Linked DNA regions of Pelodiscus sinensis. The protein of the gene in region 2 interacts with the protein of the main gene of each other region in a pairwise test. Links are inferred from orthologs where the notes say so. Each region holds a gene or a part of one and is shown on either strand. Other genes may lie near its edges.

Region 1 (7,606 bases), on a different chromosome or scaffold from region 2:
TGCAGTCCTTCAGAAGCTGCTGGATGTTGTGTTTTTGGACATAGAGTTCACATTCTCTGAGGCTACGCTCCTCCTCATTGGTGGTGCTGCTAGAGGCTGCCATTGCTGTTTAAGAAAAAAAATAAGAATCATCTGAACTACATTGAGAATTAAGCAGATCCAGCTGACATGCTCCCTAGACATGCTGTATTAACTTTTGTTGCAGTGATCTCACTTAAAAAAAAAAAGCTAACTTATCAGCAGGGCTAGTAATTAAAATTCAAAGTTCAATTCCCAAGCCTGTGCTCTGGCCCAGCAGTGCAGAGACGTGATGTACTTGGCATCTGGGAGGAAGTGAGAACCTTGGGTTGCTCTACAGAAATTCCCACAGGCCCAAGACAAGCAGAGGGCTTTTTTTCCCCCGCCCTCCCCAGGTGAATGAAACTCAGCAACCCTGGCCCCTTGAGCATTCTGAAAGGCATGGAGTCATATGGGCATAGGCTGTTGATTATATCCCAGATTTCCTGCTTCAGTGAAGTCCCTCTCATACCACGGAGGAAACAAGGAACAGAGGTACAAAGTATAGTGAAATTTGGTAAGGTAACAGCAAAAAAAGTCAGCTCCCTGGTAGTTGTAGCCATTAACAGCTAGTAGGAGCCATAGAAATACAGATGTTTGCCCAATGGAGATGCTCTTTTACTACAAGTTAACTAAAAAGGGGTGACATTTAGATTAATATTCTGTAATTCTGAAGTACGCTCACAGTAATTAAAACTCATATATTAGATTTCAAAACATTAAATAAAATGCCAGATCTTATCAGAATTTAGTAGAAGAGCTTTCAGTGTGTAAAAACTGCCATTATATTTTATTTTAACCAGTTTTTTCTTATGCAAGTTGCTCTGAAGAGAGATTAACAGAGAAAAATGAAAATATGTTTAGAAGAGTATTTTCTAAGGTTATATAAATAAACCCTGTAAAGACAGTTACCTGGGATGCAGATAGAAGGGACAACTGTGGATATGTAGAGAATTTACAGTGAAGCGTGTTGATCCCAATATCGGCTTTGGGGAGGAAAATAAAATAGACAGAAAATAAGTTGCATGCTTAATAGTTGAAGAATCACTGTAAAGTACAAGTGGTACAGTCGTACTACATATGCTTTTCTATTTGGGCACAAAATTAACAAAACACACAGCAATATAGTCAATATAACATTAATTATGCTCCTTTGAATTATAGGCAGATTAGAGGCAGAACAGATAATTCAAAACAAGCTGCATTCTTATTACTGATCGCCACAAAAGTGTATAGAAGCAGACCCACGGTCATGTTTATGCAACACATATGCATATGTGGTTTGTACTAAGAGAAAGATTACCGAAAAGTTCAGACTAACACGGCTACATTTCTATCACGAAAAGTTCTAGTTACCCCTTTTGTTTTGACAAGTTGCATGCTGAAGGTCAATAAGAAGCCTAATTAAATGTCCCAGAGTAAATTTGTGGCTCCATGACAGCCCACAAATTAGAGTCTATGGAAAAAGCATCATGATGCTGATAGACAGCAAACATGAGTCGCTAATGGCTCAAAGATACTACTGTGAAAAAACAGTGCCAGAATGCATATCAAGCAAACAAGTTGTAAATTTTCCCCTTAATCTTTCTACATATTGTAACTATATCTTTATTATTAAAAAAGCCACCATATAAAATTGCAATGACTTTAGTACAAGAACCTAAACCACTTCATACTTCAAGGAGTTACAAATTCTGATCCAAATTTTGGACCTTATTCCCATTTGTATTAGTTAAAGCGCCAGTGCCAAATGTTAAGCCTTCACATTAGTGGTGCAGTGTTGTGAAGAACAATCAGCATATAGTCAAACTACAAAAAGCTCCTCACATTGGGAGTGAGGAGAAGTCCATCGCCCCAACAGTGTCTGAAATGTGAACCGCATCCATTTGTAAGGGAGATTCTCTCATTCCAAGATTAGCTTTGGAATTAATAAGTAGCACAGTCTGAAAAACACTTCAGTAAGATTCAAAGTATCTCACTGAAAACCTTTGCAAAAATTCTTTTTAAGGGGAAGGATTTTTACTGTTTTATTGACACCACCAATGTAAAAACTGAAAAACCTAAACATTTTCCTGCAATGCTTCCCACTTGGGGATGAGCAAAACTTGGCAGCTCTGTAGTTTGTTGGCTGGGTTTGGTGCAACACATCAAGAAACCTCCTGTCAAGTTACCCCAACTTGGGGACCCTGCCATGCAGGTGGGGGGGGAGGGAGGTTTTTGAGGTAAGCCTGCCCAGCCCGATTCCCTGCAGGAGGCAGCATCCTCTCCCAGGGATCGAATAAGGCGGGGTTCACATTGCGGGGTGCGTGTGGAGAGAGCTAACGCCTGCGTCAGTAAAGTTAAACCTTCCTCTTTCTGCACGTGTGCACGGGGGGAGGGGGGGGAGAAAACACCCCCAGCCCAACCCCATGCAACACACACAACCCCCGCCAGTAAGCGACATAACACCGTACCTCACTATACTGCTCCCCAGCCCCCCACCTGCCCCCCCTCACCGCCTACCCCCCCACCTGCCCACCCCCCCACCTGCCCCCTCCTCACCGCCTACCCCCCCACCTGCCCCCTCCTCACCGCCTGCCCCCCCACCTGCCCCCCCCACCGCCTATCCCCGTACCCCCCTCCCCCCCAACCACCACTGCTCCCCCCTCCTCCCCCACCCCTAGATCGCCCCGCCCTTCCCCCCCGGGCCTGCCCCACCCCCCACCAGTGCCCTGCCTGCCCCCCCCGGGTCTTCCACGCCCCCTCCCCCCACCCGCGTCCCGCCGCCTGCCCCCGGCCAGCGCCTCAGGCCTCCCGCCGCGCTCCCCCGGGGCCGGCGGCCTCTCCCCGGAGCCGCCGCCCGGCAGCCCCCCGCGGCCAGGCGGGACCCGCAGGCTCCCACTCACCGCGGGGTCCGGGCGGCTCCCTCCTCGGCCTGGCTCGCCCCCCTCCCCCCGACCCGGCCTCGGCGATCTCGGCGGCGGCGGCTCCCGCTCCCACCGGAAACCAGCGACCTCAGCCAATCGCCTGCCAACCTGACGTCAATGCGCCTCGCTCTCACTGCGAGCCGTCGCCGGGGCAACCTTAAAGGGGACGCCGCGCTCGCGCCGCGTCTTAAAGGAGCCGCCGACACGTTTCGCGCCTCCCTCTTAAAGGGACCACGGCGCCTTCCTCCAGCTTTGACGAAGCTCCGCAACCAGCCCCTCCCCTTACAAGGCCTTGCGATGCCCCGCCCTCTTAAAGGGGCCAACCCCACCCTGGCCTTGCCTCAAGGGTCTGCCTTGCCCAGTTTCCTTGGCTCCTTTAAGGAGTGCCCGACACCCCTAGGCACTGCTGCCAGTCCATGGGACGGGCACATGGCAGGCGGAGCTGCGGGGACACGAGGGCTCCACGCCAGGGGCCAGGCTGCACCCAGGCCCCAAGTTCCAGGCATGGCCCTGGGGACCAGCCAGGGGCCGGGCTAATGATGGGTTTTGAGGGCTCAGCAGCGGGCATGGGATATGAGAGGCAGGTCGGAAATGGGCGCTGGGCACAGAGATACCCCGTGGGAACTAGGGCTGGGAATGGGAGCTGGGCACAGAGATACCCCGTGGGAACTAGGGCTGGATTGGGCGCTGGGCACAGAGATACCCCGTGGGAACTAGGGCTGGATTGGGCGCTGGGCACAGACATACCCCGTGGGAACTAGGCCTGGGAATGGGTGCTGGGCACAGAGATACCCCGTGGGAACTAGGCCTGGGAATGGGTGCTGGGCACAGAGATACCCCGTGGGAACTAGGGCTGGGAATGGGCGCTGGGCACAGAGATACCCTGTGGGAACTAGGGCTGGGAATGGGCGCTGGGCACAGAGATACCCTGTGGGAACTAGGGCTGGGAATGGGCGCTGGGCACAGAGATACCCCGTGGGAACTAGGGCTGGGAATGGGCGCTGGGCACAGAGATACCCTGTGGGAACTAGGGCTGGGAATGGGCGCTGGGCACAGAGATACCCCGTGGGAACTAGGGCTGGGAATGGGCGCTGGGCACAGACATACCCCGTGGGAACTAGGGCTGGGAATGGGCGCTGGGCACAGAGATACCCTGTGGGAACTAGGGCTGGGAATGGGCGCTGGGCACAGACATACCCCGTGGGAACTAGGGCTGGGAATGGGCGCTGGGCACAGAGATACCCCGTGGGAACTAGGCCTGGGAATGGGCGCTGGGCACAGACATACCCCGTGGGAACTAGGCCTGAGAATGGGCACTGGGCACAGAGATACCCTGTGGGAACTAGGCCTGGGAATGGGCGCTGGGCACAGAGATACCCCGTGGGAACTAGGCCTGGGAATGGGCGCTGGGCACAGAGATACCCCGTGGGAACTAGGGTTGGATTGGGCGCTGGGTACCAAATCAGGCCATGAGAATTAGGATCGTGACTGGGCTCTGGGATAGGGATGTTAAAATGTGTTTATTTGTGTAGACGTGTATCCACTGGAAATACACATTTACACAGGGAACTAGTGCTGGGAATGGGTGCTGTATCTGAGACAGCAGTGACGGGTGTGTTGGGGGGCGGAGCAGGCGGCTCTTGAGCCAGTGTTGGGGGAAGGGGGAAGGAACCATTTAAGCGAGGTGTTAAATGCATGGAAGACTGGCTTTATAATGCAACATAAAGGCAGCTTTCCATGCATTTAACACCTCATTACACCAAAAGTTAAGTACAGTATAGGAAACTTCCAGCCCACTCAATTAACCGCATTAGCATCAGTACTACAATTGACAGGTACTTTTTTTTTTCTTCCCTTATTTTTGTGTTATAAATTCTGGGTTCGTGCCTTTTCCACTCCTTCTTCCAACTCCTCTGAAGAAGTGGGTTTTGCCCACAGAAGCTCATGATACTACATATATTTTTGTTGGTCTCTAAGGTGCCACAGGACAACTCATTCTATTATTTCCAATTTGTGACTGGAAAATAGCAATGCTTAGCATTGGTGGGGCTTTCTCTTTGAATTAATATAACTTGTATCCCAGTTTTGGGATAGAGCCCATATTCTGCCATGCCTTGAGCAAAGATCAAACCCGTAAGTAAAACTTGTCTCGCAGTCTCGCAGCATGTTCTCATCAAGGAAAAAGAGGACGGCACTCTACAGGAATAGTGCAAAACCACTTTACAATACGGCAGTCACAGATCAAAGTATTAAAACGTGGAGCAGAATACTCTGGGATTTGTAGGCAACCTTGCGATGCTAATCGGAGCTCAGTTCTGTTAAGTGCTTTTGATGCAGGTGCACCTTGAATACAAGTCCGTATGTAGAGCCTTCTCTGTGATGAGTACATTTCCTTATGCCTCCCAAATGCCTGCCAATATATATTCATGTGTTGAGGTGTCTTGAGACTTTCTCAAATCAGGTGAAAGAAAAAAAACTGTTGGGTCTACTCACACTGCAATCAAACTGTCCTAGGCTACCATGGCACTTGACTGCACTGTAACTTTCTGGCTCAGGAGTGTGAAAAAACCCATCCTCCTGAGCGCAGCAAGTGACAGCGCAGTAAAGCACCAATGTGAACCAGGCTCCCAGATGAGTTAGCTACTCCCCCGATGGAGGTGGTTTACATGGGGCGCTGGGAGACAAAGCCCTAGTGACAGTCATGTTTCAACACCATTGCTGTAGCAGAGTTTTAAAGCTTCATCTACACTGAGTCAGGGGACACAGGTACAACACAATTCCATTTGTAGCAGGGATGCAATGTTAAGTGTTCTCCACAACCATGCTAAGGTCTTAGATGTGTCGTTGGACACACTGTACATCATGAAATCTTGAAATCAGATGCCCTGCTTTGCAGTGTCAACAAGTGTAGAGAATCCTGTTATAAACCCATGCTATTTACTAAGAACTCTCCCACTTGGGAGACTACACTCACATATTTACCGGGTTGGTAACCAGGTTGTATTTCGGGATGTGAAAGTGTAACCATGTAAACGGTGAACCGATGCGCCTGTGCTTATCAGTTAACGGTCACAGTTACACACAGACTCCCGGTGCATGCATGGAGCCAGCTTAAAAGCCAGCTCCTGTCATGCACCAGCTCCCAGGTAGCCGCCAGCCACCTCACATGTAATCATGTAACTACTGAAATGTTCAGCAATTACAGAGTTACTTAATTACATGCGTTTTAGCATCCCTAGCAGTACTATAGCTGCACTTGACTTGTGCTCACAACATATACCATAAACGGTTCCTAGCAACGTGACTGTGAGCTTGGCTGTACCATGAATGTTTGGCTATAAATGGGTTCTTGCTTAGGTCTGTGTGTGGGAAGTCTTCCTAAAATTCATTGTTCTGTGTGTTAGTAAAATAAAATAACTCTTTCTGTCAGCGTATAACCCGCTAACAATGAAATAGAGCTATGAATGAAATGACTTGGGATCACTGTTAGGACTGCTCCCTAAGTAACAGCTGAGGCCGAATGGGAAAGCGACCCCAGTTTCCCCCAGAACATACAGATGCAAGCATGGTTGTGCGGTATGGTAGGTATGGAGAGGCCAACTCCACTGACATGAGGGTGTGGGGAACATGGTGTCGCATGGATGTTGCTGAACCATTCTAGCGGAAGCCTTGTCAGAGCAGCATGGTTAAATGTAGCATGGTTCTGTCTCTGGTGAAGCTAGGCCCTCCAGTATGGTTTTGCTAGTGCAGTTCTCAGTTCTGGCCAGATCTATTCTAGACCGGGAAGATCGTCTTAAATAACGTAGCTGGAGTGGACATATGTTAAGCCAAGCTTGGTGCCATCTTCACAGCAGGAGATCAATGGGAGCAAATGCTCCCGTCAATTTCTCTTACTCCTCATGAATCGAGACACTGTGGCACCCACTGGGGTTGCCCTCAGCATTCGATTTAGTGGGTCCTCACTAGACCCACTAAATCAAATGCCAGCAGATCAATCCCCAGCATAGTAAGTATAGACATGGCTTCTGCTCCTGCTCCATGGAGGGGGCTGTCTCTAGCTCAGTTTTAGCATGACCAGAGTTGTCCCATTCATGGGATGGTTAGGGGTGGCCATTCCGGGCCCCACACTTTTGGGAGACCCACAATGGCTGGCCCTGGTGTTCTATGGATGGGAGGGACCCAGGGATTGCAGGGGTCTGGCACAGCAACAGTAGGGGTCTCCCTCACCTCCCGTACTCACAACGGCAGCAAGAACCAGAGCAGGCAGCCTGCTCCGCTCTGCCCTGCCACTCTCTCCTGGCCCACTGTGCCCTGTTTCTCAGTGGGGGTGGGAAGCCGAGCGTCTCAGCCTCAAGGCACTCCAGTTCCCACTGCCACAAAAAAGCGAGGCATGGGGGGCCCAAGAAAATGGCGGGGTGGAGCGGAGCAGGCTGCTGGGCTGTTCTGGCTTCTGCCACTTGTGTGATGAGTGGGCGGGGAGGGGAACCCTACTGCTGCCATGCCAGGCCCCATAATTCCCTGGGCTGTGTTGATCGGAGTACGGGCAAGGAGTGGAGCTGGGGCGGAGCTTAGGGAAGGGGTGGAGCAGGGGCGGGTCCTGTGGCGGGGAGGTTGCACTGAGTTGGGGTGCCCCGTATCCCCCT
Region 2 (7,204 bases):
ATCAGAATAATACAAGTTTGTGCTGTGAGAGAAACTCAGAAAAACAGCAACAACATTTTTGATTAATTAAGGTTTCACTCATATGAAGACCCTAGTGTTTGGGTTCCCCAGATTTCATATTCACCTAATTGTAGGACTGTGAAAGTATTTGCTTTTTGGCACAAAAGAAGTGGCCCCAAAACTAGGGATTATCAGTTAATCTAGTCTACTACTTGCATTCCCCCCCCCCCCCATTGCCTCGGTATAAGAGACAGCAAGGGGGGGAGAAGCAGGGAGCTGGTGCCCCCCAGTAGCAAGTCTGCAGTGCCGCCTGCCCCCCTCCCCCGCACCACCATGCTGCTGCCTCTCATAGAGGCAGCAACATGGGGGAGAGAGGAGGCTGCCACAAAGCAGTCTCTGCCCATGGCGGACTCTGGCTCGCTGCTGCCAGAGGCTGTTCTGTAGGATGCAAAGCAACCTCTGTAGTAAGCCTGCTCTGCGAGATGCTGTTTCGGGGCAACAGCTCCTGTCCACAGGGGGTCAGAGCTCCCTGTGGACAGAGGCTAGAGTGTTTGGGGGGGCACCAGGGGAGGCTGCTGCAGAGCAGCCTGTGCCCTTGGCAGGCCCTGACTCACCATGGCAGGCCGTGACTGCTTCACGGGATGCAGAGCAACGTCTGTCCATGGGAAGCCTGTTCTGTGGGATGCTGCTTCACTGCAGCAGCTCCTATGCATGGTGAGCTCGGGCCTGCCATCAACAGAGGCTGGTCCCTGGCAGTAGCCCCAGTTCACAGAGGTCTGATCTCCCTAAAGACAGAGGCTGGAGTAGCCTCTGTCCGTGCAGAGCTCGGACCCATCACGGACAGGGGCTGCTATCACCCCATGCTGCTGCCTCTATATCAGAGGCAGCAGCACAGGGCAGCAAGCAGCTGGTCTACAAGGGGAGCTGGTTTTTAACTGTCTCCCCTCGTGGACCATTTCCCACCTAGCACTATGTACTGCTGCCTCTGATACATTGGACCATAGAATAGTCAACTAACCACTAAGAATTCGTGCAGTTAGTCAACTATTGTATTACCCAATATCTAACATCTCTACCCAAAACATTAATCTATGAAAAATCAGAATTATTAGATTAACTGATAAAGTATCCAAGGGGAAGGAAGATCCCAGTAAAGATTCTGAATTCCATTTGAATTCAAGTTTGGTATTTCCATTACTTCCAGAGATCTTTGGGACATTTTTACTTCAGCCCCAAGGCAGGACCTGACAGCCAGTGAAGTCCGCTGCAACTCCTAGCCACAACAGGTTGCAGGGGCTCCCTTTAAAAATCCAGCCAAGATGACAGGTAGGGGGGGACCTGCTGTGGTCCCTATCCAGGATGCCCCACAACTGAAAGCCACCATCAGGAGTAGTGGAAGGACCCTTACAGCTCCAAGCCTCTTCCATATGTGGGGTACCCCACATCTCTAAGCTGTTGCCAGCTGCCAGAGGACCCCACACTTGCAGTCACCATGGGAGGGAATCGTGGAGCCCCAGCAACCACAGATATTGGCATAGGTAGCAGTTATTGAAGGCAGCAGAAGGCTGAGCTACACCAAAAAGCCTTGTATGGCCTTTGGCCCCTCTCATGCTCTGCCCCCAGGTCCCTTCCTGCTTCCCAGAACTGTGCTGTGTGGGGGAGGTACCAGGATAGGGCTGAGGTTAATGAGGGCTGCCTGGTGCTGGGGGGCTATGCAACACTCACATAATACTCAAGGGCTGGGAGGGCACACCACCCATATGTGCTGGGAGGGTGATAACCACTTTGCACTCCAGGGTTGAGGGAAGAAGGTCTCTGGTAAGGATGCTAAAATGCGATTAATTGACTAGTCAGTTGACTCTGGGTTCCATGTGGCACTTCCCTGGACTCCCCAGCTGATCCCAGGTCCTGGGGAAATGCCATAGGGAGCCCAGGGTCAGCTGGGGAGGTCCCAGCTGACCCCGGGATCAATGGCAGCTGCCCCTTTGAATCGTGCGGAGGCAGTATTTTAAAGGGCCAGCCCGCTGCACAGCTGATCTTGGGATCAGCTATGCGGCCTGTTGGCTCTTTAAAACACTGCCTCTGCATGATTCAAAGGGGCAGGAGGGAAGCCCAGGGTCAGCTGGGAACTCCCCAGATGACCCCAGGCTCCCTGTGGCATTTCCCCAGGACTCAGGATCAGCTGGGGAGTCCAGGGAAGTGTCACATGGAACCCACAGTCAACTGGGGACTCTCCAGCTGATCCCAGGTTCTGGGGAAATGCCACAGGGATCCCAGGATCAGCTGGGAATCCCCAGCTGACCCCGGACTCCAGGGCTGCCCCTTTGATTCCCCGCAGAGGTGGTGTTTTAAAAGGGGCAGCCTGCCACACAGGTGATCCCAGGATCAGCTGTGCAGCTGCCACCTTCAGGTTTCAGAGCAGCAGTGCCACTTTAAAGTACCCCTTTTCCCCCCACCCAGTGCTGCCTCTATTTCATATAGGCGGCAAGGGGGGAATTGTCTAGTTGACATTACTATCTGATAAGCAAATTCTTATTGGATAGTCAACTAGTCTTTAACATCCTTCATCTGTGGGCCACACTACCCACATGCCAGGCACTCTGGGACTGCTGGAGGAAAGTCATATTGCATACTCAAGAGTGCTGTGGGGGGAGAAAGAAGGGTTCCACATAGGAGTGAGGTGTCTGGACTTCAGTGGAAGGAAAAATGCCTCAGGCAGAAGTGACAGGCCAAGGGCTAACCATCCTGAGACCAGGGTTCACCTACAACCTGTGTGTTCTAGACCCTCCTCCTTTCCCATTTTGTCAGTTATTTTTATTAAAAGTCAGGGACTTATGTGAATTTTTAGTTGTTGCCCATGACCTGCCTGTGACTTTTACTAAAAATAATAATAACAAAATCTTAGCTTACCTCTTGCACAGCTGTGCACACAGTGGTCCTTTGTCCGATGGTCAGGATGTACAAGTGCCACAACTTGCTGTTGCAGTTAATAGATTTAAGCTTTCTCTGCCAAGTGTTTTTGCAAGTGCTCTGGAGACACAGGATTCTTTCTGTCCATCATCTCAAACCTACCCAGCTGTAGGGATGTAAAATCCCATTTAATCATTTAACTGGGAAACCACATGAAGGGGGTGGGGCAGAGGGTAGGCTGGAGCACCTTCCTTCCCTGCTGCAGGTGGGGGCTATTCCAGCCAGGATGGAGCCCCCCTGTGTGAGGAGCACCAGCCCAGGCTTGCTATATACAGGGGCTGCTCTACCTGGGCTAGAGCACCCCCTTCCCACATTGGACCTTGCTGGGATAGAGCAGCTCCCTGCCTGTAGCAGGTGGGGAGCTGTTCCAGGCCCCATCAGTTAATTGCAACTGGCAAGCCTTGCTGGGTGATGCTTACCAGTTAACCATTCACATTCCTACTCAACATCTTGCCCAGCCACCTAATCCAGGTGCTACCAGGTGAGTTTGGTGAAGATTGCCAAGCAACATGCAGAGTTTAAAAGAAAATGCACTTCATTCCTTGCTGACACCTGCTTTTGTAAGAGGAAAAAAGAGTCATAGAATTTTTTTTATTCAAAAGGATGTTTCTCCACCTGTCTAGATCATGACAGGATTGCTTTTGTATTCTTAACCCACTGCTAATAGTATTAAATAGGTCCACTAATGGAAAATTTTCTCCTTTAGAAGTTCAGTTACTTTATAGCTATGTTTTCCCACTTATTTAACCATTTTTCCTACTGCATTTTCAGACCTTTGTTCCGTGATATTGTCCTTGTTGTGACAAGAGAATACTGATAGTATTCTCTTTATAAGTTTGTGAAAAGGTCAGTCCCATTCCTGGGCCCCTGTTCAACTCAGTCTCACCAATTATTTAGGTACTGTGGCACAGGCCACTCTTGCCCTTGCTGGGGTTTAGATTTCTGTCCCTCAGCTAGAAGGGCTTTGGGGCAGGTGCCCCTTGATCTCCCTAGGCTGGGTAAGCAGACCTCCCCAGCCATTGGCTGAAATGCTCAAGCTACTTGGGGAAGGGAGCCCAAACAGTTCCCGTCAGAGCTCCTGACCTTCCTTGCTATCTCCAGCAACACTGACTTCTCTTTATTAGCATCTCCAAGTCTCTCCTTATCTGCTATCATTTCTCTCACTTTTCCTGGGAGTAGAGAGGAGGGGAAGCTTTTAAAAAGACCCTGTTGCAGCCTGAAGTCAGAGCAGCTGGCCCTAATTGGTTTATAGTAGCCTCATCTCAGCTGCTCCCATTCCACCCATGATAATTCCAGGACCATTTCTGCCTTTTAAAGCTGCCTCTCTCTCCTTTGAATCAAGCCCTCTGGCCTGACCTTGTCACAAGTTATATAATTAATTGCTATTCCATTTTCATTTCTCCCAATTATATTTAGTGTATTTTTTAACTTCCTGTAAAATATGGGCATTATTTTTCCATTATTGTTATTTTTAGTGTTCCTGTCTGACTTGTCTCTAATTTGGCCATATTTTTTTAAACCATAGCACTCCTGTTACTTGGGCTATAATTCTACTCTGAAAAGTATGTGAAGATTTCCTTTTTTTTTTTTTGCTAAGATGCTCTTTTGATAGGATGTTCAAAACTGTCCTCACATGGTTTATTAGTGGTTTACAATTGTGTGTCAACAACTCTTATCAAGCCTGACATATACAATGTACTCCAACTCGTTGTCATAATCTCTATCTAAAAGATGACACATAAAGTATATGCAAGATAGTGATACACTAGTCTTGAAAATCATTGTGTGGTATAGGCCAAGCCCGTTCCCCACTATCCATCTGCCTCCCCTGCCCTCTGCAGAGATGATGTATCAGCTCCAGCTCCCTCCCCTGCCTTGCTGCTTCTGTTAAGGGCAGCAAGGCCGGGAGGAGGGGAGGGGGGGGACTGCTAATGCCTGTGATGCACATGTTATTTCTGTATTCCATTTCTGGAAAGTAGTGAACAGAAAGGATGAAACAACTCTATCAGGTGACTTAATTACTATAGTTTCTTTGACACCAAGATAATCAAAAGCCATAAGGCACATACAGCATGCATTCAGAAGCATCCTTATGTCTGTTTACTCCTGAGTATTATATAAGTCTTGAGCTTATTCAACCTCTACCAGTTATGGACTTTATCATAGAATCAGAGGATAATAGGACTGGAAGGGACCTCGAGAGGTCATTGAGTCCAGTCCCCTGCCCTCATGGCAGGACCAAATACTGTCTAGACCATCCCTGATAGACATTTATCTAACCTACTCTTAAATATCTCCAGAAATGGAGATTTCACAACCTCCCTGGGCAATTTATTCCAGTGTTTGACTACCCTGACAGTTAGGAACTTTTTCCTAATGTCCAACCTAAACCTCCTGTGCTGCAGTTTAAGCCCATTGCTTCTTGTTCTATCCTCAGATGCCAAGATGAACACGTTTTTTCCCTCCTCCATATGACACCCTTTTAGATACCTGAAAACTGCTATCATGTCCCCCCTCAATCTTCTCTTTTCTAAACTAAACAAACACAGTTTTTTCAGCCTTCCTTCATAGGTCATGTTCTTTATACCTTTAATCATTCTTGTTGCTCTTCTCTGGACCCTCTCCAATTTTTCCATATCTTTCTTGAAATGCGGTGCCCAGAACTAGATGCAATACTCCAACTGAGGCCTAACTAGCGCAGAGTAGAATGGAAGAATGACTTTTCATGTCTTGCTCACAACACACCTGTTAATGCATCCGAGAATCATGTTTGCTTTTTTGAAAATAATCAGCATAACGGCATTGCGCAAGAGGGTTTTTCTTGCGCAAGAAGGGGAAGTGTAGACGCTCCTTCTTGTGCAAGAGCCTCTTCTGCAAAAATGGCAGCTCATTAGATATGCAAATGAGGCTCGGCGATATTCCACGCTTAGCCTCATTTGCATATATCTGGCACAAGATCACGCCAGTGTAGACATAGCCTATGTGTGAAACTGATTGTTCCTTCCTAAGTGGAGCACTTTGCATTTGTCCTTATTAAACTTCATCCTGTTTACCTCAGACCATTTCTCCTATTTGTCCAGATCATTTTGAATTATGACCCTATCCTCTAGATTAGTCACAACCCCTCCCAGCTTGGTATCATCTGCAAACTTAATAAGCGTACTTTCTATGCCAATATCTAAATTGTTGATGAAGATATTGAACAGAGCCGGTCCCAAAACAGACCCCTGCGGAAACCCACTTGTTATACCTTTCCAGCAGGATTGTGAACCATTAATAACTACTATCTGAGTACGGTTATCCAGACAATTATGCACCCACCGTAGCCCCATCTAAGTTGTATTTGCCTAGTTTATTGATAAGAATACCATGTGAGACTGTATCAAATGCCTTACAAAGTCTGTATCAAAGCCTAGGTATACCACACCCACCTCCTCTCCCTTATCCACACAGGACTCGTTATCCTATCAAAGAAAGCTATCCAATTGGTTTGACATGATTTGTTCTTTACAAATCCATGCTGGCTAGTCCCTATCATCTTGTCACCTTCCAAGTGTTTACAGATGATTTCCTTAATTACTTGCTCCATTATCTTCCCTGGCACAGAAGTTACACTAACTGGTCTGTAGTTTCCTGGGTTGTTCTTATTTCCCTTTTTATAAATGGGCACTATATTTGCCCTTTTCCAGTCTTCTGGAATCTCTCCTGTCTCCTATGATTTTCCAAAGATGATAGCTAGAGGCTCAGATACCTCCTCTATCAGCTCCTTGAGTATTCTAGGATGCATTTCATCAGGCCCCGGTGACTTGCAGACATCTAACTTTTCTAGGTGATTTTTAACTTTTTTTTTTAATTTTATCTTCTAAACCTACCCCCTTCCCACTAGCATTCACTATATTAGGCATTCCTTCAGACTTCTCAGTGAAGACCGAAAGAAAAAACTCATTATGCATCTCTGTCATTTCCAAGTTTCCTGTTTCTGTTTTTCTCTCCTCACTGACCAGTGGGCCTACCCTGTCATTGGTCTTCTTCTTGCTTCTAATATATTTATAAAAGGTCTTCTTGTTTCCCTTTATTGCCGTAGCTAGTTTGAGCTAATTTTGTGCCTTTGCCTTTCTAATCTTGCCCCTGCATTCCTGTGTTGTTTGCCTATATTCATCCTTTGTAATTTGTCCTACTTTCCATTTTTATATGACTCCTTTTTTATTTTTAGATCATGCAAGATCTCGTGGTT

Evidence for each region.
Region 1: the proteins of PLEKHF2 (region 2) and PRKAR1A interact in binary tests that used the Homo sapiens proteins (3 or more experiments, as listed by UniProt). The two-hybrid records come from large-scale screens. The link is inferred for Pelodiscus sinensis from reciprocal best matches to the Homo sapiens genes PLEKHF2 and PRKAR1A.

What each region holds. Positions count from the first base shown.
Region 1 is NC_134730.1:23,380,811-23,388,416, reverse strand, and holds the start of PRKAR1A (cAMP-dependent protein kinase type I-alpha regulatory subunit), read right to left. Parts: upstream 3,088-7,606; 5' UTR 2,943-3,087; intron 1,044-2,942; 5' UTR 970-1,043; intron 106-969; 5' UTR 104-105; coding exon 1-103. UniProt on the Homo sapiens protein: Regulatory subunit of the cAMP-dependent protein kinases involved in cAMP signaling in cells.
Region 2 is NC_134712.1:39,749,215-39,756,418, forward strand, and holds the start of PLEKHF2 (pleckstrin homology domain-containing family F member 2), read right to left. Parts: upstream 3,058-7,204; 5' UTR 2,911-3,057; intron 1-2,910. UniProt on the Homo sapiens protein: May play a role in early endosome fusion upstream of RAB5, hence regulating receptor trafficking and fluid-phase transport. Enhances cellular sensitivity to TNF-induced apoptosis.